Macaca fascicularis: one gene and its partners. The protein of the gene in region 4 purifies or fractionates together with the protein of the main gene of each other region. This does not show direct contact. Links are inferred from orthologs where the notes say so. Each region holds a gene or a part of one and is shown on either strand. Other genes may lie near its edges.

Region 1 (6,000 bases), on a different chromosome or scaffold from region 4:
CCAGGCATGGTGGCGGGCGCCTATAATCCCAGCTACTTGGGAGGGTGAGGCAGGAGAATCGCTTGAAACAGAGAGGCAAAGGTTGCAGTGAGCCGAGATGGTGCCACTGCGCTCCAGCCTGGGCGACAGAGCGAGACTCCATCTCAAAAAGAAAATGAAAGCTTTCTATAGTAGAGAACAGAAATTTAAAAATTATTAAACCCTGTGGCTAAAGTCAGGGCACGTGTTGGTACTGAGTGTGTAGAAGCTGAGGGAAACAGTCATCCCAGAGCATCTAACTGCACTGCGCTGCCCAAATTTGCATCCAGCCCCGCGCCGCACCCCAGGACAACTTACTGCGCGATGACATCTCTCCCTTTGATGATCTGCTTGATTGCTCGTTGCTGGATTGCTGATGGTTTTTCAAAACCTGCAAATAAAAACAAAAAAATAGCTCTCGCTACAATGACAGCACAGAAACCCTGTACTGTGAGCTCCTCAGGGGCAGACGTGGTTTGCTGTTTGAACCTGTCCTCCCGCCTAACCCAGTGTTCAACATAGCAAGCTCTCAAAACCCAGGGGCTCAATGAATCGGACTAAGTGGATTTCTAAACTAACATGAGATATTATTTGTAAAGACAAATCTCTATTTTAAAAAAACCACCAAATTGTAGAATACAGAAAAATAATAATGATAATCTTCTGGGTGTGCAGCATCTGGAAGTATAAGTGCCAAAATGTTCCTGGCAGTTACTGCAGTAGAGGGGTGAAAAGCAGCTAACTTTTTACTCTAATTACTTCCTTAGGTTTGACTGGATTACAAACAACCTATACTACTTTTTTTTTTTTTTTTTTTTTTGAGACGGAGTCTCGCTCTGCCGCCCAGGCTGGAGTGCAGTGGCCGGATCTCAGCTCACTGCAAGCTCCGCCTCCCGGGTTCACGCCATTCTCCTGCCTCAGCCTCCCGAGTAGTTGGGACTACAGGCGCCCGCCACCGCGCCCGGCTAGTTTTTTGTATTTTTTTAGTAGAGACGGGGTTTCACCGTGTTAGCCAGGATGGTCTCGATCTCCTGACCTCGTGATCCGCCCGTCTCGGCCTCCCAAAGTGCTGGGATTACAGGCTTGAGCCACCGCGCCCGGCCTATACTACTTTTTAAATTAAAAACAAAAACAAAAAAAACCAGGAAAGTCACTGTAGCCATTCTTCTCTCCTCCTAGCTAGCATTAAGTCTGTGTGTTGCTGACAGGTCTACAATTCTATTTAACCTGCTTGGGTCACACTGTGGGGTGTCCTACGCTGTTCTCCTGTCTGGATGCAGCTCACTAACTACCATACCATCTCTCCTGCAAAGCAACTACTACACCAAAGGGGGAGGCTATTTTGAAGAAGAACCATGTGTTTTTCAAGTAAGTAAATAAAACTTTATGTACAAAACTCTAGTTCAGTTATTTTTTGGTAGTCTCTTAAATGTAGCTCTGTTCAGTTCTGGGGCATAGCGAAAAATGAGAAACAAAAGAAAATGTAGCACAATTTCCCATCTTAACACAAAAGCAAATATAGCAGATGATTTAAACTCTTCAGGAAGAGCAAGCACATGGATGGGAAACTAACAACAGTGTCTTAGGGCAGGGACCGCCTGAGTGCCAGGAAACCAGGTGGGGCTGTCAGCCTCGCTGGAAGGCTGGCTGAGATGCTTTCTCACCACCCATCCTCAGCACCTTCGCCTCACTTTGTCCAAACTGTTGTGGCATCAAGAATTACAGGATAAGATCAGGTGGGGTGGCTCACACCTGTAATCCCATCACTTTGGGAGGCTGAGGCTGGCAGACCACTGAGGTCAGGAGTTCAAGACCAGCCTGGGCAAGATGGCAAAATCCCATCCCTACTAAAAATACAAAAACTAGTAGGGCATGGTGGTCGGCTACTTGGGAGGCTGAGGCAAAGGAATCGCTTGAGCCCCAGAGGCAGAAGTTGCAGTGAGCCGAGATCATGCCACTACAGTCCAGCCTTGGTGACAGAGCAGGACTGTCAGAAAGAAAGAAAAGAGAACTACAGGATAAAAAATGTCCCTGTCCCAAGCATTAAACACAGGCCATTTACCCCAGATGCTGGCCATTCCCATCTATGTGCCCAACCCAATCTCTTCTCCAGGCTCTCTCTCAACTTCCACAGATCTTTCAAACATACCAAGAGACAACTCCTGATTCTGACTCTCTGGAGTGCTGCCTACCTAGCCACATGTTTGCAGCATCAACCACTGGTTACTCAAAACACCAACCCTCCTCCTCCTGTCACTCACAGTCAATCCATCAGCCAATGCTGTCAGTTCCCTGGCACTCCATCTCCAAGGCAGCACAATCCTCTCTTCCCTTAACTGGAGCAAAAGCTTCCCAACTCTTCTGTTTCCTCTCCTGCCCTGCCTCGCCTCACCTGAAATTCACAGACACCCAGAAGAATCTTTAAAGCTGTAAATGTGATCGTGTCACATAGCTACTTACTACATTCCAGTGGCTTCCCACTAGATTTCCAAATGAAATTCAAATTATTCGTCACCCCTACACGTCTTTGCTAAATCTGGCCCCTGACTAGCTCTCCAAAATCCCACCACAGGGGACTTCTTTCAGTTCCTGGAATGCAGCTGGCTAAGGGCTGCAAAGCCCTGGCACCAGCTGTTCCTTCTGCCCCAACTGCTCTTCCCTCCTCTCCTAAAAGTCTCCTTCATCCATACCTCTGCTCAAATGGCAACCCCTCCTGCGAACCCCCTTACCTCTCTGCTTTACTAATTATCTCCTCCTTCCCAGGCCCACTCTATTCAATTACCTAGCTTCGGGTTCTTCCCAGCAACAACCACTGCCTGGGCAATCTGACCGCATGCTGTCCCCCCAAAGGAAATTCAAAACCCGTAAAGGCGCAAACCCATCTGGTTTACCGCCAAAACCCCAGTAACTAGAAAAGTTAGTAGGTACAAAACAGTTATCTGCTGAATGAACGACTCCGAGGTGCCTCGAAGCGGCTGTAGCCCCCGACGGACCCAGCGCCGAGCTCTGCACAGGGGACACACAGCGAACGCGCCGACACAGCCAGGCGTGAGGGCAGGGGTGGGGGGGGGGGCGCACGTCACTGGCCCCCGAGCCTCGACCCTGACCACGACCTCCGGAGTGCAGGGCCGGCCCGGGAGTCACCAGTCGGGCTCTCAGCCCCCGGCTCGCCGCCAGCTGGCCCCCGCGGCCCGCGCCCACTCACCGTAAGCGTAGATGCCCCGCAGTAGGTCCTCCCGCAGGCCCATGGTGTCGAACGTGGGGGTCACATCCACCTCCTCGCTGGTCTCGAATTCCACTTTGGTCATGTCTTCCTCTTTGAGCAGACGCTTTCGCGCCGAGCCCGAGGTCGCCATCGTGGCCGTGGTCGCCATGATTTAGAGTCCGCGGAAGAGCACAGCGCGCGCCACAGCGTAAACCACCTCCCGACTCTTCTCGCTGCCGGGGCCGAGAACTGACGCCTTAGCGTGAGAAAGCGTAAGACGTGCGTACGTGCGTATGTGCGTGCGTACGTGCGCGCGAGGCGACCCCGCCTCTGGGGCGGGGCACTCTTCGTCACTTGAAAGGGAACTGGGCGTTTGCCGCAGGAAAAAGTAAGATGTTTCTGCTCTCGCGCCATATGCAGTTCTCGCGGGATCTCGTTGAGGGCGGGGCACCCAGTTCCTTATAAAAGGTACGGAAGCGGGTGGATTTCCAGAGTTGGTGGCGTTTTGTGGCGGTTGCGGCAGTTTGGGACGCTAAGGCTCTTTGAGCGGCGTGCGGCCCTGAATCCCCTGACAACAGGCTGGGGGCCGCCAGGGGCCTCCAGTCCGGGTGGCGTCGCCACACAGCCCCGCCTCGAATGAAGAGGACGAACACGGGTCCTCTCTCGGGCCCGCATTGGGTGGACTGCGTCGCGGACCCGTAGTGGGGGCGCCCAGCTCGCCGGGGAGATTCGGGTGGAAACCCTCACGGCCCCCGGTGGTGGGCGCCGGCGCGGCGCTGGGCTCGGGCGGGTCTGCGCTGGGGAGGGCCAGGGCCTCTAATGCCGGTGTCTTTGGGGACGCGCCTGTGTGTGTTTTCGCCGTTTGCCTGGTCAGTTGGAGACAGGGTCTCTCTTTGTCGCCCAGGCTGGAGTGCGGCGGTGGGATCAGGGCTCACTGTTGCCTCCGCCTCTAGAGTAGCTGGGACCTCAGGCGCGCGCCATGATGTCCGACTAATTTTTTTAAATTTTTTGTAGAGACGGTGTTGGGGGAAGGGTGGGGGTTAGGGTTGTCCAAGCTGGTCTTGAACTCCTGAACCTCAGGTGATCCGCCCGCCCTGGCCTCCCAAGGTGCTGGGATTACAGACATGAGCCACTGTGCCCGGCAAGCAGCTGTTATAAAGTAAAATACACGCAGAGCCTGCAATTTACTCTTAATGAAAGCCTCCTGTCTAGACGGTGTTAATAATGCGTGTCCTGCAGCAAAGATAACCCAGACGGGATCATGTAATTGCCCAGCAGAACGGTAACCAGTTGCGCATCTTAACCTGCTTTTAGTTCATTTGTTTTGAGACAGAGCCTGGCTCTGTCGCCCAGGTTGGAGTGCTATGGCACGATCTCCGTTCACTGCAGCCTCCACCTCCCAAGCCCAGGCGATCCTCCCGCCTCAGCCTCCAGAGTACCTGGGACCACAGGTGCCGCTGCTACGCACAGTCCTAACCACTTTCTTATCTGACACTTGAAGTGCTTCTACATACCCAGCTCCTCTAATGCACTTTGAAGCAGCTCCATCATCTTTGAAGGGCAGTTCACGCTGTTGAGAATCATGTTTTTAACTGTGGGAAAAGTAAAAATTTCCACGAGCACCAGCTGTGTCATTTTTTTTTTGGACGGAGTCTTGCTCTGTCACCCAGGCTAGAGTGCAGTGTCGTGACCTAGGCTCACTGCAAGCTCCGCCCCCCAGGTTCATGCCGTTCTCCTGCCTCAGCCTCGCGCCACTACACCCAGCTAATTTTTGTATTTTTAGTAGAGATGGAGTTTCCTCATGTTGGTCAGGCTGGTCTTGAACTCCTGACCTCATGATCTGCCCACCTCGGCCTCCTAAAGTGCTGGGATTACAGGCGTGAGTCCGGCCCTGTGCTTATGATCACAAATCTGGCTTACATGGCTGGGCACATCTTTAATCCACGGCTTCTTTCCAGGAGTGCTTGAAAGCTCTCCTTTTATGAAGGTTAATTTTAGTTAAAACCAGAGCATCCTGGCCAGGCCCAGTGGCTCACACCGGTAATCCCAGCACTTTGGGAGACAGAGGCAGGTGGATCACGAGTCTAGGAGTTCGAGACCAGCCTGGCCAAAATGGTGAAACCCCATCTCTACTAAAAAAAAATACAAAACTTGACTGCCCGTGGTGGCGGATGCTTGTAGTCCCAGCTACTCTGGAGGCCAAGGCAGGAGAATCTCCTGAACTCCGGAGGTGGAGGTTGCAGTGAGCTGAGATTGTGCCACTGCACTCCAGCCTGGGTGATGGAGACTGCATCTCAAAAACAAAAAACCAGAGCACCCTTTTATCAAGAAATTGGTGGATTGCAGTATTTCAAGGGTGAACAAGTAAATGCAGCCTTCTCCAAGAGCAAATCTCATTCTGGCACCAGAATTTATCCATGACAGATAATTGACCCGAGAAACATTCCTTGTAAGGTTGCTGGTGTCACGTAACCAAAATACTAAGTATTGTAAGTTCTGATACCTTCTTCACTCTACAAAGGATGGTTCAATGCCTCACACTGTTTGCCAGGCGGTGCTCTAGGGCTTTGTTGTAAAATACACACAGACTTCAATGACAGTGTAGGAGAAGAATGTCAAATACCTTGTTGACTAAAGAAATACAGTTAAGCTTTTAAAGAATTAGTTTTATTCAGAAGCCTTACCAAGGACCCTACACCCCAGCCCCAGCCCAGGAGCTCAAGCGATCCTCCTACCTCCGCCTCTGAAATTGCTGGAATCACAGGTGTGAGCTACCA
Region 2 (6,139 bases), on a different chromosome or scaffold from region 4:
GCTCCAATCGTCAAAAATAGGAAAAAAAAAAATCTTTGGAATAGCCAATTAAGTTGAATAAAAAAATCCACACGAATGCGGTTTGGTTGGGGCAGGAATCCACTCCTATGTTCCTGGTAATCTGATCCCGCTCCATGAATCCTGGTAATTCATCCTCCCTATCCTATCCACATTATGATTTGAATCCAATGATCCAGCTCCAAGGATTGGGATCCAGTGAGCCCTCTCCAATCCAAACCTTTATAACCAGCAAAACCAAAAAAGAGGAGGCAAAATGTTAGATACTGTAATCAAAAAAGGTTTCTGGGGAATGATGAGTTATGTCTGTCATCAGTTTAACAGATGCACATCAATAACTATCAAATTCCCCAAAACAAGTTTCTGAATGGTGTTCAGATAAATTTTAGAAACTTAATCATCATAGAGACTAATTGGAAGAAGCATTTTGTATTTACAGTTCAACTGATAATGCCAACACTTGTTACTGTACAGCGTATTACAGGTTTCGTGGTTGCAAGAAGTTACGTAATTTAAGTTTACTGGCATTGCTACCCACCTAAGTCTAAAACTATATCTAATGCTCCCATTTGCAATTTAATTTGTAAATTAAAGTCTTTTAAACATATGAATCAATTATGAATATTAGTTTAAAGGGGAAGGTGAGACTTAAAAGTATTCCCAACTAGATTATCTACACCAATACATTGGAACTCTATATTTTGCTTTCATTTTGTCTTAAAAAAATGAAATAGCAACGCTCTATCAGTCACACAGAGGACATGCAGATTTAGCAGTATTGATATTATACTCTATCTTGTTGGATTTAAAGACACCCTGTACCCACATGTACACCAACAGCAGGTCACACATTAACAGTTGTAACTAAGCACTGTGACAAATTAGCCAGTTCTTCCCACATTAGTCCCTATTAAAACAAAAATGGGGGGAAGGGAGCAAAATAAGTTGCTACAAAATGGGCAATATAATTTTGCCACAATTGCCAAGGTTTAAAGAGCAAAGCAATTGTAGCTAAAGATAACTGAATAAAATGTTTGCAAGTGTTTTAAGGAAAACGTATATAATCATTTTTAACCCCTGCCTTTTAGTATAAGGTCAATACTGCCAATTTCATCTGTGACAATAGCACTTGGAGTCATACCATTGCCTCCATTATTGATCTGATCCTCCTCAATCCTCCTTTTGACAATCCTAAAATGATTGAAATGTGCTCCACAATCCTTAATCCAAAGCATTCTTAATCCATCTCTTCAGATATGTCTACAGAAAGACACATGAAAAGCAAGATAAACATAAGAACTTCCCCAGGTAAGATAACCACAAACACCCCCAACATCCCAGTTCACACAAACCAGGGCAGAATAGACATTTACACAATATCACAGTCTGAAGAGTATGGAGTTAACTAAATTTAAACAATCCTGTCTATGACATCACTTAAAATACAATTTATCGAAGACACGAGGGGAATGTAGATGTTAGGAGCAAGGGGATATTACAAGAATGCAATTCAACACTTTAGCCCATTCTGAACAAAACAGTTTGAATTAAAAAATGAAAAGATTGTACTGAATAAAGGAAAACTGTATACAACATGGGTTCTACAAAAAGTGTCACCAATCATCTTATGTACGAGAGCGAGATCTGCTATGACGGGGAGAATAGCGTGGTGATCCTCTGCTTCTCCTTGGGGAGTAACTGCGACTCCTGCTGTTGCTTCTGCTACGGCTTCTGCTACGACTACGGCTTCGAGATCGAGATCTTCCATAACTTGGACTTCTGGGCCCATCAACTTTAACCCGGATGTAGGCAGTTTCTCCCTATTGGATAGACAGAACTTTCCATTGAAAGATCTAAGCTTTCATCTATCTTCAGGCATGCTGAATGCATACAATGCAACTACAACCAGAAATCTGGCAATTTACTTGGACACCCTTGCCTGAATTCTTACCTTCAAATTCCACTGTTAAGACCACTGTATCCAATTCTGGTCAAAGAAAAGAATAAGCGTATAACCTACCTCATGAGATCTAAACTTAGTGTTATCCAGTTTTCGAACTGCATAGGTCATATCTTCTTTCCGTACAAACTCCACGACACCAGTGCCATCTCGGTAAACATCAGCATAACATACATCACCTGCTTCACGCATGTGATCCTTTAAATCCTGCCAACTTCCACTTGGAGGCAGTCCTGAAAAAGTGATTTTTTTTCTTAGTATCAATTATCTTAAATTTCACGTTAAGCTGGTAAGATACATTAGAACAAAGAGTACTTTAAAATACTTAATAGGTGTACTTAAGTGATACCAGGTAAAGAGCTGGTAAGATTCTGGGATCCAGAGTCCAAAATTATTTGTAACGGATCTTCGTATCTAGTACCGCAACCTAATTTGGTAAATCACCACAGCAGCAATCCTCGTTTATTAAATTCACCCAAAAACTAAAGCAATTTAACACCTAGCATGAAAAATTTGCAATTGTTAAACCGATCATGCAAGACAAAAATTTTAGGTAGCTTCCGTCCCTTCACATCAATCCACACAACAAAGTACACTCACCAGAGACAACCACTCTGTTTTCAGACCGCCTGGATGGGGGGCCATAGCGACCTCGGGGAGCTCCGCCACCTCCACCCCCGCCGCCGCCTCGGCCTGTTCCACGGCCGCTTCGAGGAAACTCCACCCGCAGACGGTACCCATCGTAATCATAGCCGTCGCGACCATACACCGCGTCTTCCGCGTCTCTGCGGGATCGCAGAAAGTAAAAGGCATGAGAAAGACCAGGAGGAGAAGCTCGCTCAGTCGGGAACCCCCCGCACATGCGCACCCAACGTGGAAGAGCCCACATGCGCCGCATAATAGGAATGGCCCCTCCCCCACCCAGAAACACGCCAGGCTCCCAACCACTACACCAGCCCTCAGCGCCTCAGTTTCCCGCTCCAGCCTGCGAATGGGCTCCGGGGACGTCCAAGGCGAGGCGCCAGAGAAGCCACACCAACTCAGCTCCTTACTCGACTCCTGCATGGGCGATACAGTCTCGCCCCAACCTCTCTAAGAGCCCCCGCTTCCCCGTTCTCTATGTTAAGGCCTTGGAGCCTTCCCCGACTACTCGGACCTATTTCCTCAAGGCTGCAAGCCCCATGCCGCCTCACCGCGGGTCCTCGAACTCAACGAAGGCGAAGGGCGGTCCCCCGCGGCGATTCTTGAGGTCGATGTCGCGGATAGCGCCGTATTTGTAGAACACGTCCTCAATGTCCTTGGTTCGGATGTCTGGAGGTAAGTTACCCACGTAGATGCGGCAATCGTTGTTCCCTGCGGGGCCACGAATCACACCACCTCCCGACATGGCGGTGACGAAAAGCGCGGACTCGAGAACAGGCCTTCCCACCAAGCCTAGCGCACCGCAGAGCGAGCCCGCAGCGGCACCACGTCTCCCGCGGCCCCTCCAAAATGGCGCCTTTATCAGCTCGGCGCACGGATATGGGGGGGAGACAGAGGAAGAGAAGCGGAAGGAAACAGCGATTCGATCCCAACACGCACGCGCGGGAGCGCAACGGGTGCTGCGAGGGATACGCGCAACGCACGCGCACGCACGCGCGACGTCACCCTCCGCACGAAGGGGGAAAAAAAGTCCCCCGCGTTCCCCGCTTGGGGTGGTTTGCGAATAGAGTGAGCAGCCGTTTGGTAAAAGTTAAATAAAGAACTCTCGTTAAAGGAGCTAGTCATCCAGGTCGAGTCTTGAAGGATAGTCAATTTCCCCAGGAATGAGGAGCTTTGAAAGCAACTCGGCGCCTTCAAAGGACTTGGTGAAACCTAGCCTAAAGCCTTGTCCCACCATGCTCTGCGGCGATAACGGCCTTTGGCGGGAAAGAGACTCGGAGGCGGGGCTAAAGGGGGAGGGCTCGGGCCGTTGCTCCGGAAACCCGGGTATCTTCGTAGAGTGCGTCTGGTCCAGAGCTGAGTTGCCGGTGACTGAATAGAGAGCTGGGGCGTTGGTTTGTCTTCCCGCCCCTGCTGCGAACAAGCTGTGGCTGCTTAGACAGATGTGTCTAATTTAGCGAAACCGGTTTAGATTCCTTAATCCTTTTCATTAAGAACCATTCCACCTTCTCGTCAGAACTTTGCATAGCTCAGTTCAGCACTCTTTGTGCTAGTCGCAGTGGGCCCGTACCCCGACCTTTCAACGTGGTACCCGCCAACCAGAAGGGGTAACAGTACTGCTTCTGGTACCCACACCTCTTTATCTCTTGTTAATCGCCTATCCGTGGGACTAGCGCAGATTGCCTGCAGAATGAATTGTTTCTGTTGTTTCCTTTTAAAGAACGAGAAGGAAGAAAAGGTGCGTGTGTGCAGTCCTTTTTTCAAAAGTTTCCTCTAAAAGTTACTGAAATTGAAAATACCGGTCCTCCCAGGTAATAAAATGGACCGAAATGGATGAGAGCCGTATCCACTAGAGACCGCGGTTGCTATTCAGGACTGTGATCTTATTTGCCTGCGACATTGGGAGATAACATTTTACATTTTTTTTCGACGTCTGCAATCTGGATTTTTATGTGAAATCCTGGGATTTTTAAACGTCGCTAATGAATTCAAATTAAAATCAGGCTGGGCGCGGTGGCTCACGCCAGCACTTTGGGAGGTAGAGGCGGCAGATCACTTGAGGTCAGGAGTTCGAGACCAGCCTGGCCAACATGGTGAAATCCCGTCTCTACTGAAAAAAAAAAAATTAGCCGGGCTTGGTGGCGGGCGCCTGTAATCCAGCCTACTCGGGAGGCTGAGGCAGGAGAATCGCTAGAACCCTGGAGGTGGAGGTTGCAGTGAGCCGAGATCGCGCCATTGCGCTGCAGCCTGGGCTACAGAGTAAGACTCCTCCTAAAAAAAAAAAAAAAAAAAAAAAGGAGGGGGAAACAACAACAAAATCAAATCCTGCAGTCATAAATTTGCGATAACAGATCTACACCCTGAATTTCAGGGATAATGTTCTTCATGTTATTTACAGCAGTCCCTCTCCGCAAGGATGTGAGGCAACTTACAGAGATACCATAAAACATTATTAAAAGTAGATGAGGCTGGGCGTGGTGGCTCACTCCTGTAATCCCAGCACTTTGGGAGGCCGAGGCGGGCGGATCACCTGAGGTAAGGAGTTTGAGACCAACATGTCGAAACCCGTCTCTTCTAAAAATACAAAACATTAGCCGGGCATGGTGGCCCATGCCTGTAATCCCAGCTACTCGGAAGGGTGAGACAGGACAATCTCTTGAACCCTTAGGAGGTGGAGGCTGTAGTGATCGGAGATCATGCCACTGCACTCCAGCCTGGGCGACAGAACAAGACTCCATCTCACACACACACACAAAAAAACTAGAGGAATGGGAAAATAAGGGGTGGATTAAATGAAATAAGCATAAATTACTATACAAAATGCCTGCAGTGAAAGCCTGTTGAATTTGTTGAGATAGACTGCAAATTTTACTTTAGTCTTCGCAGAAGTCGCGGTAAAGAAGGGTACACCAGTATTGCGTATTCAAAATCCAAAGTGCCTTTGGGATAAAAATAAATAGGTCATTCAGGAGAAGGACATGTTTTCTTAATTCTAAAAGCTGATGAAATGTATTTTACAAATGTCTCTCGGTGACCCCAAAATACATATTCAATTTGAAATGAGCAGGGATGCTTGCTCTTGTGCCTGAAGATCCTCAGTATATCCACAGATGACCTTTGGTAATCCTTGAGCTTTCTGTAATGTTTTCCAAAATTATATGCATGTATGCATGTACAAAATTATATGCATGTGCGTACTTTTTTCTGGGAAGAGGATTTGAAATTTTAATCAACTTCTTAAAGGAGTCCATAGATCCCAAAAGGGAAAAGAACTTCTGAAAATTGTCAAGGGAGGGATAGATTGCCTATCCTTCAGACCATCCTTCAAGTATATATATAGGGGGGTGTGTGTGTGTGTGTGTGTGTGTATATATATATATATATTTTTTTTTTTTTTGAGACAGAGTTGCCCTCTGTCACCCAGGCTGGAGTGCAATGGCGTGATCTCAGCTCAGTGCAACCTCTGCTTCCCTGACTCAAGCCATTCTTGTGCCTTGGCCTTCTGTGTAGCTGGAATTA
Region 3 (6,105 bases), on a different chromosome or scaffold from region 4:
GGTAAATGTACAGTTTCCATTCGGTTTTTTAAAAGAAATTGACAATACTCCCCACTATGACTATCTTGCAGGCCCTGCAGGGCTCTGAGACTCCTAGATGCCCCCCAAAGCCCCTTCAGAACTTAGGAAACTGGGCTGGCCTTCCTGGCTTTTCTCTGAACCAGCCTTCACCGTCTTGGGACCCAGGTTTCCTGAATATAAAATGAAGGTGCTGGATTGGGGATCTGTTACGGTCCTCAAAGCTTCGTGACTCTGGTTTGGTAAATACAGCTATCTGTTAATGGCAGAACAGTGACACACACTCATAGTAAATGCAGATGCCCTCCCAAGACAGCATCACAGATGGCACATGGAGGCACTGAGGATGTTGCTCTGGCTGGCCCACCTCTCTGAATACAGTGCCTGTTTTCCACAGGGCAGTGTGCTGGGACCATCCATCCACCACTGTCACTGGAGCTACTGAATTTCAATAGACCTCTGACCTTGAACCCTTCCCTAAACTCTGAAGCTCTGCTGATTAAGTCAGGTCCAAAAAAACAAACTGCCTGTCCATCTGAGTCTCTTACAGGCTGGGTCTCAGGAAGATCATTCTTACTGGGAGGCCCAGGAGTGAACCGGCTGAAAGACAAGACTGTAATTAGCTTTCTAAAAACTACAATGTGTTTTGGGGAAGATCTTGGAGACCATCTAGTCTAAGCATTCACATTATACACGTGAGAAACGTGACACCAAGGCAGAGCAGGGCTGGAACCAGGCCTCCCAAGGTTCTTCCCACTTGGCCACGCCCAGCTTCTCAATTTGCTCCAACTAATAAATGAAAGCTTTCTTTTGAAGTGTCACCCACTCAGAGCCAAACTGATTACTTTTTTTTAAATTATTATACTTTAAGTTCTAGGGTACATGTGCACAACGTGCAGGTTTGTTACATATGTATACTTGTGCCATGTTGGTGTGCTGCACCCATCAACTCCTCATTTACATGAGGTATAACTCCCAATGCAATCCCTCCCCTCTCCCCTCCAAACTGATTACTTTTACACCCATTAGATCAGGTAAACAATTTGCCTAGTATTAAAATTCAACAGCCTTTTGCATTCTGCAGTTAGGCAGGTGCCTACCAGCCAATGAGGACCATTCTGAACTGTGGCAGATGGACAGGCACTGGCTCCACCTCCCCAGCACTGACATCTTTGAACAGTTGTAGTTTAAGTGACAACGTGAAAATTTTATTGCATCCTGCATTTTTTGTTTTACAAAAATTGATGGAGGTCAGGCACAGTGGCTCATGCCTATAATCCCAGCACTTTGGGAGGCTGAAGCAGCCAGATCACTTGAGCTCACAAGTTTAAGACCAGCCTGGACAATATGGTAAAACCCCATCTTTACTAAAAATACAAAAATTAGCCGGGTGTGGTGGTGTGAGCCTGTAGTCCCAGCTACTTGGGAGACTGAGGTGGGAGGAGGGCCTGCGCCTGGGAGGCAGAGGTTGCAGTGAGCCAAGACTGCACCACTACACTCCAGCCTGGGTGATAGAGTCAGACCTTGTCCGGAAAAAAAAAAAAAAAAAAAAAAAAGGGTGGAAAATGCTAACACTAAAGTTCTGATGCTATTGACCTTAGTCTCAATCCATGGGACTCAGTGTGACCATCTTGAGGCTTCATTCATTCATGCTATGCTCAATTGTGAAAGAAAAAAAACCCCACAAGTTTAAAAAGTATGAATGCACTGAGTGTGAGTGTGGTGGCTCACACCTGTAATTCCAGTACTTTCAGAGGCTGAGGTGCAAGGATCACTTGAGCCCAGGAATTCAAGACCAGCCTGGGTAACATGGCAAAACCCCGTCTCTACAAAAAATACAAAAATTAGTCGGGCATGGTGGTGCAAAACCTCTAGTCCCAGCTACTTGGGAGGCTGAGGCAAGAGGATCGCTTGAGCCCAGGAGGTCAAGGCTGCAGTGAGCTGCGATCACACGACTGCACCAAAGCCTGGATAACAAAGTGAGACCTTTTTTCAAAAATAAAAATAAAACAAAATAAAGCATGAATACAATGCTGGAATATGATACTAAAAACTGCTACAAGGAGAAGAAACTCATTGCATTTCATGACAGCTTTAATTCTCCAGGATTGGCACTTACTTCCTTACATGAGACTCCACTGCTTGACATTTGTACATCTGAACTGCATATCCATAATTTTTTTAAAAAGGTAACATATACTAGCTGGGGACTGCCTTTGGAGCAAAAAAGGCTAGTTTGAGACAATCTGGAAAAACCTAATATATGGCCGGGCGTGGTGGCTCATGCCTGTAATCCCAGCACTTTGGGAGACCCAGGCAGGCAGACTGCTTGAGCCCAGGAGTTGGACACCACCCTGGGCAACATAGCAAGACCCCGTCTCTATAAAAAACGAAAAACAAGAACCTAATATACTGGGAACAAACACCCATTAAAGGCCAGTTGTAGGGTTTTCCTAAAGTCAGTCATCCAGTTGATGCAACAAAATGCAGCCTCTCTAGTTAAGGGTTAAACATTTTTAGGCTCTTTCCGCTGTAACAATTCAGAATCAGTTCACAGATATGGAAAAAGTGTCAATTGCTTCAGAATTGCTGAAAGATCTGGCTTAGGCATGGGGCCCTTATTCACCCAAAAGCAAACACCCTCCAGTCTGTTTCTTCACTGGTAAAAAGGTCAAAACACCTCCACTGCCCACCTTAGAGGCAACAAACACAATGGGGATGAGCCCTCACTAAGTCCGGGGTTTCCAGTCTGCCATTTCAGGTTCCCACAAGTAGCAATAGGAGGAGGGGCGCATGTGAAATTTACAACATCTAAAAAGGGTCAAAGGCAGCAGTGCGGTCCCCCAAGCATCGCAGGAGCTAACTCAATATCTCGTTAATTTGCGTCTGGCTGGAAACCAACCCAGCGCGGAACCACTGGGGACCCTCTCGGCGCCAAAATCCTGGTAGCACTACAGATCGCGCACCTCGGCGAAATGGGTAAGGAAATCCCAGGTCGATGAGGGGGCGGGGGCCATGCCCGACACGCCCACTAGGCCACGCCCTGCAGCCCCGAGCGCGCGCGCGCCCGCCCGCCCCGATGAATGGAGACGCGCGCTCTCGGCGCATGGGCCTGCCCCAGGGCTCCCGCGGGGCCGAGCCCGGGGAGGGCGAGGACGCGCCGCGGGCTACCTCGGAGCCGATCATGTAGAACTCGCCGTCGTCCTCCAGCTGGAACTTCACGGGCTTCTGCCCGAAGGTCTTGCTCAGCGCCATCATCATCATTGCGGCGGCAGAGGCGGGCGGCTGGAGCCGGGCTGCGAGAGATCGGGAGGGCTGGGGCGGGGCCGGGGCGTGCCGGGCCGAGGGAAACCGAAGCCGGAAGGCAAAATGTGGACCGGGCCGGGTACTGGCGCCTCAGCCGGGCTCCTCAGCCGCAGCCGCCGCCGCAGACGACGACCAGGCCGCCCTCAGTGCGCAGGCGCTGGCGTTGACGCTGACGCGCGCGCCGCCGCTCAAACAAAAGGCCGGGCGCGCCTCCGCGGACCCCTTAAAGGAGCCACGACTAATTTCTCTTTCTCCCAGGCTGCTTCCCAAGTCGTGGTGTAGAGGACTTCTCACGGACAAAAATAGCCACTGAGGTCCTGAGTCAAGCAGTGGCTTTCCAAGTCTTACAGCCAGGACTGGAACTGGCCCAGGGGAAAAGAAATGAAGTGAGACCTGAAGGAGGAGGACCTAGTATCTGGAAGCCTGAGTGGTCTTGGCATGCTTTGGGACCCCAGGCTCCTGTCTTAGCTTCCCCACCCCTAAAACGCAGTGCAGCTGAGCAGATAGGCAGGCCCCTAGGAACAGATATCCCAGTTCCGGGCCTATGGCTGTCCCTGCAGTTGTGGAGGTGGGCAAAATGACAACAGCAGATGAGGCTTGGCAATGTTCAAAGGCCCAGGTGGTATTTGGTTTGGCTGGTGCGTCAGATGAGCGAGAGTTGGAAGGGAGGGACACCTTCCACCTTCTCCATTCCCCTCTTAGCTTCACACTCTGCTTAACCCAGCCCTATGGTGGGGAGCGAAACCAGGCAGCCCAGTCCTTCCGCTCTGCCTCTTGGCTCTTACAGCCTGAAGCTAGTGAAACTAATGAAAGTCTCAAAGCAATCATGTAACTGATTGAATAATGCAGGGAGTAAAACAGTGGCCCACTACTGATGATTTCATACGGTTCAGTCTAATGAAATTGCAGCTGTGGCTGGGCTCAGTGGCTCATGCCTATAATCCCAACTCTTTAGGAGGCCAAAGCAGGGAGGATCACTTGAAGCCAGGAGTTTGAGACCAGACTGGACAAGACAGCAAGACCCTGTCTCTACAAAAATTTTAAAATAAATAAGCTGGGTGTAGCATGGTGGTGTGCACCTGTAGCCCCAGCTACTTGGGAAGTGGAGTGGGAAAGATCCCTTAAGCCCAGGAGTTCAAGGTTATAGTGAGCTGATTGCACCACTGCACTGCAGCCTGGGCAACAAAGGGAGACCCTGTCTCTTTTACAAAAAAAAAAAAAAAAAAAAAATGCAACTATGATAAATGCTATTACAAAAACACACATGGGGCTGGAAGGTAGGGCAAGGAGACACTGGAGAGTTGGGAAGGGCAGTGACTGAAGTTGCTTTGTTCAGTATCCTCACAGTGGTGGGAAACCAAAGTACAGTAATCCCTCAGTATCCATGGGAATTGGTTCCAGGACCCCCTGCAGATAATAAAGTCCATAGATGCTCAAGTCCATTATATAAAATGGTGTCATACTTGCATATAACCTACACACATTTTCCTGTATACCTTAAATCACCTCTAGATTCCTTATACTACCTAATACAATGCAAATGATATATAAATAGTTGTTATACTATATTGTTAGGGAACAACGACAAGGAAAAAAGTCCATACATGTTCAGTACGGAGGTAACCATCCTTTATTTATTTATTTATTTATTTATTTATTTATTTTTTGAGATGGAGTTTTGCTCTTATCACTCAGGCTGGAGTGCAATGGCACTATCTCGGCTCACTGTAACTTCCATCTCCCATGTTTAAGTGATTCTCCTGCCTCAGCCTCCCAAGTAGCTGGGATTACAGGCTCCTGCCACCACACCCAGCTAATTTTTGTATTTTTAGTAGAATGGAGTTTCACCATGTTGGCCAGACTGGTCTTGAACTCCTGACCTCAGGTGATCCACCCACCTCAGCCTCCCAAGGAACTGGGATTACAGGCACGAGCCACTGCGCCCAGCCGTATCCTTTTTTTATTTTTTATTTTTTTGAGATGGAGTCTCACTCTGTCACCCAGGCTGGAGTGCAGTGGCGCAGTCTCGGCTCACTGCAAGCTCTGCCTTCCGGGTTCACGCCATTCTCCTATCTCAGCCTCCCAAGTAGCTGGGACTACAGGTGCACACCACCATGCCCACCTAATTTTTTATATTTTTAGTAGAGATGGAGTTTCATCATGTTAGCCAGGATGGTCTCGATCTCCTGACTTCGTGATCCACCCGCCTTGGCCTCCCAAAATGCTGGGATTACGGGTGTGAGCCACCACGCCCGGCCTTGCATCCTTTTTTTAAACATTTTTTTCCCTACCTGAGGTTAGTTAAGCCTATGGATGCAGAAACCACAGCTATGTATGGAAGGCTGGACTGTGGCATGAGCAGATAAAATGACCACCACCCTGGAGGATGAACAGAGGGGACAAGTAGGAAAGTGGGGAGCCAGTTAAGAAGTCACTATAACAAAATGTGATGTAGAAATGGAGCAGAAGGAGCCCTGAGCACTGTGCCCAGCCCCAAGGTTGGCGGACTTTGACCCTGGCTCCCAGGACAGGGCTGAACAGCGGCCAGGCCTCCCCATCTTAGCTGAACATTCACAAAAAGAGACCAAGCAGGCAGGTAGAAAACAACTGTGTTTAATGACAATCCTCAGTTTAAAAAAAAAAGAAAGAAGAAGCAGCTTTATACACACTGTACACACATTTACAATGGCTTTGGAGGATAGCAGTGCTGCAAAAAGGGCTTCAGGAGGATCCGGCCTGGGAAAGGATTGAGGTATGTTGCAGCCTCCAGGGCCCAGGGTC
Region 4 (5,876 bases):
AGGTGTGAGCCACCATGCCCAGCAGAAATAAATCTCTTAACACATCTCTCCCAATTCTGTTTTTCTGGCTGAGCCATGACTGACTTTGGGGGGCACAGCCTGCCTCCACTGGGCTCCTCTGGAATCCCACTCCTTTTTCCATAGCTTGTCTTGGGGCTGCCTACTTTAACCTCACAGTCTACTTCTATTGAGAATTTCCAACATATGTTAACTAATTTTCCCTCATTACTATTTCTGGGAGTGAGGGCAGGCCTTTGCATTACCCCCATTACCAATCATCCAGTCTCAGAATCTCTGGCCACCATTTTGAGATATAACTTAAGGTGGTTCCTTCTTTGTTTGGTTGCAATTTATGGACAGGTAGTTCAGGACAGGATTTTTTTTGTAATTTTTTTTTCTTGATTCAGAGGAGGTGGTCTGTGGAACAACCTCACCCTGCCATCTTAACCCTAAAAATCACTCTATTCATCCGCTTTCCCTGATAAAAGGACTACAGGGAGGAGCAGTACCTTCTTGACTTTATACCCTCAGAATCTAAGCACACACAGCACCCGGCAAATAGGAACTCTTATTTGTTGGAAGAAACACACTTCAATTTCTGAAAAGAGATTTTCATGAAGTCATTATTCAACAGTTCTTCCATATAAGCTAAATCAAACTTCCTGGAACACTTACCCTTGAGTGATGCTTAAATACAAGTATCATACTACTACATAAATTTAACAAGCACTTCCAAATAAGATAAGTAAGGTCCCGATATTCAAGGGATTAGCTCTAGTGTACAGGGCTTAAACAGTTTTAAATTATACACATTCTGGGGAATATAAAATAGTGCAACTGCTGTGAAAAAGTTTGATGGTTCCTCAAAACTTAAACAAAATTAACATATGACCCAGTAATCCACTCCTAGGTACATACCCAAAATAACTGAAAGCAGGGACACAAACACATTTGTATGCCAATGTTCACAGCAGCATTATTCACAATGGCAAAAAAGATGAAACAATCCAAGTGTCCATCAATAGATGAGTACATGTGATGCACACATACAATGAAATATTATTCAGTCTTGACAAGGCTGAATGGATGCTACAACATCAACCCCGAAAACACCATGAAATAAGCCAGTCACAAAATGACAAACACTGTAACGAGTTCACTGAAATGAAATATCCAGAATAGACAAATTCATATATAGACAGATAATACATTAGAAGCTACCAGGGGATGGGGCGGGGGAGGAATGGGAAATTATTTTTTAATAGGCACGGTGTGTCCTTAAAAGGTTACCAGCACACTGGGCATGGTGGTGTGTGCCTGTAGTCCCAGCTGGTTGAGCCAAGGAGCTCAAATCCAGCTTGGAAAACAGTGCAAGACTCCATCTCTTTAAAAATTAAAACAAGGCAGGATGGCGTACAGGCTTTCTGTTGGAGGGAGGGATAAAAACTTGTAGAAATAGTGGTTGCACAACAATTTGAATGCTATTAATGCCAACAAATTATACACTTAAAAACAGTTAATGACCATGCACGCTGGCTCACGCCTGTAATCCTACACCACTTTGGGAGGCCGAGGCGGGCGGATCGCTTGAAGTCAGGAGTTCCAGACCAGCCTGGCCAACATGGTGAAACCCTGTCTCTACTAGAAATACAAAAATTAGCCAGGTGTGGCGGTGGGCGCCTGTAATCCCAACTACTGGGGAGGCTGAGGCATGAGAATCCCTTGAACCCGGGAGGCAGAGGTTGCAGTGAGCCGAGATGGGCGCCACTGCACTCCAGCCTGGGCGACAGAGTGAGACTCAAGAAATAAGAAATGGTTAACATGGCAAATTTTGTTACATATGCACACACATATGTATTTTGAGACGGAATCTCGCTCTGTCGCCCAGGCTGGAGTACAGTGGCGCGACCTCAGCTCACTGCAACCTCCACTTCCCAAGTTCAAGTGATCCTCCTGCCTCAGTCTCCCAAGTAGCTGCGATTACAATTCTATGCCACCACACAAGGCTAATTTTTGCATTTTTAGTAGACACAGGGTTTCATTATGCCGACCAGACTGGTCTCAAACTCCTGACCTAAAGTGATCCGCCAGCCTCAGTTTCCCAAAGTGCTGGGATTGCAGGCATGAGCCACCGTGCATGGCTTGTTATATAACTTTTTATCGCAATAAAAAATTTATTTTAAGCCAGGCGCGGTAGCTCACACACCTGTAATCCCAGCACTTTGGGAGGCCGAGGCAGGCAGACAACCTGAGTTCAGGAGTTCGAGACCAGCCTGGTCAATATGGTGAAACCTCATCTCTACTAAAAATACAAAAATTAGCCAGGCGTGGTGGTGGGCACCTGTAATCCCACCTACTGGGGAGGCTGAGGCAGGAGAATGGCGTGAACACGGGAGGCGGAGCCTGCAGTGAGCGGAGATGGCGCCACTGCACTCCAGCCTGGGCGAGAGCAAGACTCCGTCTGAAAATATATATATATATACACACACACACATATATATATAGCATATACATATATTTTTCAGTTACACACCTTTTACTTATATTAAAAACCCATTATGGTGTCAATCCAAGGAGTTATGTGCAGCGCTAAAGACAAGCCGGCAGTAGTTTGTAGGGAGATACACCCAAGAGATGAACACTCAGGAACCATCTTCACTAAACACACACCAAAAGCTCTTCCATCAACCCTTAGATAATAACTCGGGTTTTGGTAGTTTATTTTTCACTTTTGGTGCTTTGGTACCTAAGGCTTAATATTACGTGGAAATGCTCTTTGAGAATAACAAACACCACTCGACAGCATCACTCTCCCTTACCATGCTGTCCTAGTGCAATTTATTTGACCATGAGTCCCTTTAGGGCGGATACTACAACTTAATCATCTACCTATCACTTTTGTACCTAGCAGCCATAACAGTGCTAAATCTTGGGTCTGTGCATTCTTAACCGCCCAAAAGTTGCAACATTAATCACAAAAGCGTTACAATAAAGGCAAATCTCCTTTCACCTAACAACAAAAACTTCTAACTTCCCGAAAGTTGAGCCTGAAGACCCCAAGTGGAGGAATGAAATTTAAATCAAGGAGAATAACTCTCTACACTGGCAAAGGCAATTAACTGTTGTTCCAGGTTCCCGGCCCGGGTCCGAGCCCGCCCCCGCCCTCCTCACCAAGTGTAGATCTGCAACTCGCTGGACGGTACATTTCCCCGGGAGAACTCGTCCATTCGGTGGTGGCGGCCGTTATTGGTGGTGAAGACCCGCAGCAACAGTGGGCATGTCTGAGGGCGAGAGAAAAACGGAACGGCAGAAGTTAAAGACACCAGCTGCGAGCCCGGACCTCACCTCTCTTCCCGAGGCGTTGCGGCCTCCGAGCCGTCCGGATACCAAAAACACCGTCTCCTCCCGCACACAGGCCGCGCCTCTGCACCCTGCCGGGCCCACCCCCAATCTCTTCCCGGACCCCAAAGCGGAGGGGACCTTCACCTTCTCGCGGTCGATTGGCTTCTCTGGCTCCTTCTTAATTTCCTCCTGGGTAACGCGCGACTCCACCGCCATCTTCCTCCTACGGCCCGCTAGACGCTCGCCCTGACCTCCGACCCCTGCAGCGAGCATGAGCACGAAGTCTCTCGCGAGGAGAAGCTCGACACTTTATAGTCGGGCAGTGGCTGGGCGGGGCGTATCCTGGCGCAGGCGCACTTCCGTTCGTGGCGTGCGAGCCGGGCGCGCCTGCGTGTTGCGACTTCGGGAAAAGGTGGGTGCTGGCCTCAGTGGGGAGGAGCGGTTTAGCCTCCGTCGCCTGGCAGTTGGTTGCCGGGGTGTTTTTTTTTTCCCTTAAATATTCACAGGCGAAATAAGCTTAAGGTGGCGTTTTCACTCGTAATGACGAAAACCTTATTGGACACAAAACGTTCCTTTATTAGCAAAATATAGATCTTTCTGATAAAAGAACAGGTCCGCCATACCCGCCCCTGAGGTAAGCCGGAAGAGGCGTCGCCAGCGTACGTGGTCATGGAGCGATCCTTCCAGCCACATACACGGCGGCTTAGAGACCGGAATGCGAGCAGGAAACCCGGAACTTGTAGGAAATAACGTTCTAGAATATCTTCAGGACCTATGGATGGGAATATATGATAGAAAAAACTAACGAGAAGCAATTGATTTGACTGGGTTAGGACAAAAATAATCTGACCTTCAAAACTCCGTGATGAACAAACTCCATGATGAACCCAAAATGCCAAGTATATGACTGAACTTAAAAGTGATATCATCTTACGACTGAAAAGTGGGAAAAAAAAATACATCATAAGAGAGAAAAAAGCCACAGAGTGGGAGAAATTTGTTACACATATGATTGACAAAGGCAATTATCCAGAATATATAGGATGTAAACAGACAACCCAATCGAAAAATGGATAAAATTACTGAACAGGTGCTTTGGAAATGACAAAATCCAGAGAGGCAACAAACATGTAAGGTGAGCAAGCGCATTACAAATCAGGGAAATGCATTAAAACCATGATTAGTTTCAATTGACTGGTTTTTAAGCCACACCCACTAGATTGGCAAAAATTAGGAACTCTGGCCAGGCGTGGTGGTGGCTCACGCCTGTAATCCCAGCGTTTTGGAAGGATGAGGCAGGCGGATCACCTGACCTCCTGACTCCCGACTTGAGGTCAGGAGTTTGAAACAAGCCTGGCCAACACGATGAGGCTCCGGCTCCACTAAAAATACAAATAAAAATAAAAATAAAAACGGCCGGGCGCGGTGGCTCATGGCTGTAATCCCAGCACTTTGGGAAGCCGAGGCGGGCAGATCACGAGGTCAGGAGATCCAGACCATACTGGCTAACACGGTGAAACCCTGTCTCTACTAAAAATACAAAAAAAAAAAAAAAATTAGCCAGGCATGGTGGCGGGGGCCTGTAGTCCCACCTACTCCAGAGGCTGAGGCAGGAGAATGGTGTGAACCTGGGAGGCGGGAGGCGGAGGTTGCAGTGGGCCCAGATGGGCTACAGAGCGAGACTCCGTCTCAATAAATAAATAAATAAATAAATAAATAAATAAGCCAAGAGTGGTGACGAGCGCCTGTGATCCCAGCTACTGGGAAGGCGGAGGCAGGAGAATTGCTTGAACTGGGAAGGCGGAAGTTACAGGTTACAGTGAGTGGAGATTGTGCCACTGCAGTCCAGCAACCTGGCCACAGAGTAAGACTCCATCTCAAAAAAAAAAAAAAAAAAAAAAAAAAAATACGGCTGGGCACACTGGCTCACCCCAGTAATCCTAGCACTTTGGGAGGCCAAGACAGGTGGATCACTTGAAGTCAGGAGTTCGAGACCAGCCTAACCAACATGGTGAAGCCCTGTCTCTACTAAAAAATACTAACCATTCATGTCGCAAGCCTGTAATCCCAGCTACTTGGGAGGCTGAGGCAGGAGAATTGCTTGAACCCGGAGGCGGAGGCTGCAGTGAGCCAAGATCACGCCATTGTACTCCAGTCTGGGCAACAATAGCAAAACTCCATCTTAAACAAAAAATCTAGGAACTCTGACAGTAGCAAGTGTTTGTAGGCTACTGGGAATTCTGATATACTGCTGGTAAGAATGTAAACTAGAACACCTAGCTTTGGAAAGTAGTACCTACCCTAGAGAAAATCTTGCTCAAGTGTATCCAGAGACATTACAAGAATGTTCTTAGCTATAACAAAAAGCTGGAAACAGCCCAAGTGTCCATCAACAGTAGGACACTTGAGTGAATTATGTTGTACTAGACAGCAATAACACTAACAATCAACAATGGGATACTATAAAGCAACACAAATTTACAAATTACAGTCATATGAAACAATGTGAATCTCACAAACATGATGGTAAGTAT

Evidence for each region. Proteins that work in one complex are often made in the same cells at the same time.
Region 1: the proteins of SAP18 (region 4) and EIF4A3 fractionate together in Homo sapiens (co-fractionation; 3 studies listed by BioGRID and IntAct, with this or other methods). This does not show direct contact. The link is inferred for Macaca fascicularis from reciprocal best matches to the Homo sapiens genes SAP18 and EIF4A3.
Region 2: the proteins of SAP18 (region 4) and SRSF1 purify together in Homo sapiens (co-immunoprecipitation; 4 studies listed by BioGRID and IntAct, with this or other methods). This does not show direct contact. The link is inferred for Macaca fascicularis from reciprocal best matches to the Homo sapiens genes SAP18 and SRSF1.
Region 3: the proteins of SAP18 (region 4) and SMARCB1 fractionate together in Homo sapiens (co-fractionation; 3 studies listed by BioGRID, with this or other methods). This does not show direct contact. The link is inferred for Macaca fascicularis from reciprocal best matches to the Homo sapiens genes SAP18 and SMARCB1.

The regions. Positions count from the first base shown.
Region 1 is NC_088390.1:86,553,006-86,559,005, forward strand, and holds the start of EIF4A3 (eukaryotic initiation factor 4A-III), read right to left. Parts: upstream 3,475-6,000; 5' UTR 3,393-3,474; coding exon 3,224-3,392; intron 410-3,223; coding exon 337-409; intron 1-336. UniProt on the Homo sapiens protein: ATP-dependent RNA helicase. Involved in pre-mRNA splicing as component of the spliceosome. Core component of the splicing-dependent multiprotein exon junction complex (EJC) deposited at splice junctions on mRNAs.
Region 2 is NC_088390.1:48,704,881-48,711,019, reverse strand, and holds the start of SRSF1 (serine/arginine-rich splicing factor 1), read right to left. Parts: upstream 3,475-6,139; 5' UTR 3,366-3,474; coding exon 3,172-3,365; intron 2,764-3,171; coding exon 2,579-2,763; intron 2,212-2,578; coding exon 2,039-2,211; intron 1,839-2,038; coding exon 1,652-1,838; intron 1,279-1,651; coding exon 1,256-1,278; coding exon of another isoform or gene 1,240-1,255; 3' UTR 1-1,239. UniProt on the Homo sapiens protein: Plays a role in preventing exon skipping, ensuring the accuracy of splicing and regulating alternative splicing.
Region 3 is NC_088384.1:28,069,153-28,075,257, reverse strand, and holds the start of SMARCB1 (SWI/SNF-related matrix-associated actin-dependent regulator of chromatin subfamily B member 1), read right to left. Parts: upstream 3,475-6,105; 5' UTR 3,283-3,474; coding exon 3,190-3,282; intron 1-3,189.
Region 4 is NC_088391.1:793,034-798,909, forward strand, and holds the start of SAP18 (histone deacetylase complex subunit SAP18), read right to left. Parts: upstream 3,628-5,876; 5' UTR 3,616-3,627; coding exon 3,487-3,615; intron 3,282-3,486; coding exon 3,172-3,281; intron 1-3,171. UniProt on the Homo sapiens protein: Component of the SIN3-repressing complex. Enhances the ability of SIN3-HDAC1-mediated transcriptional repression. When tethered to the promoter, it can direct the formation of a repressive complex to core histone proteins.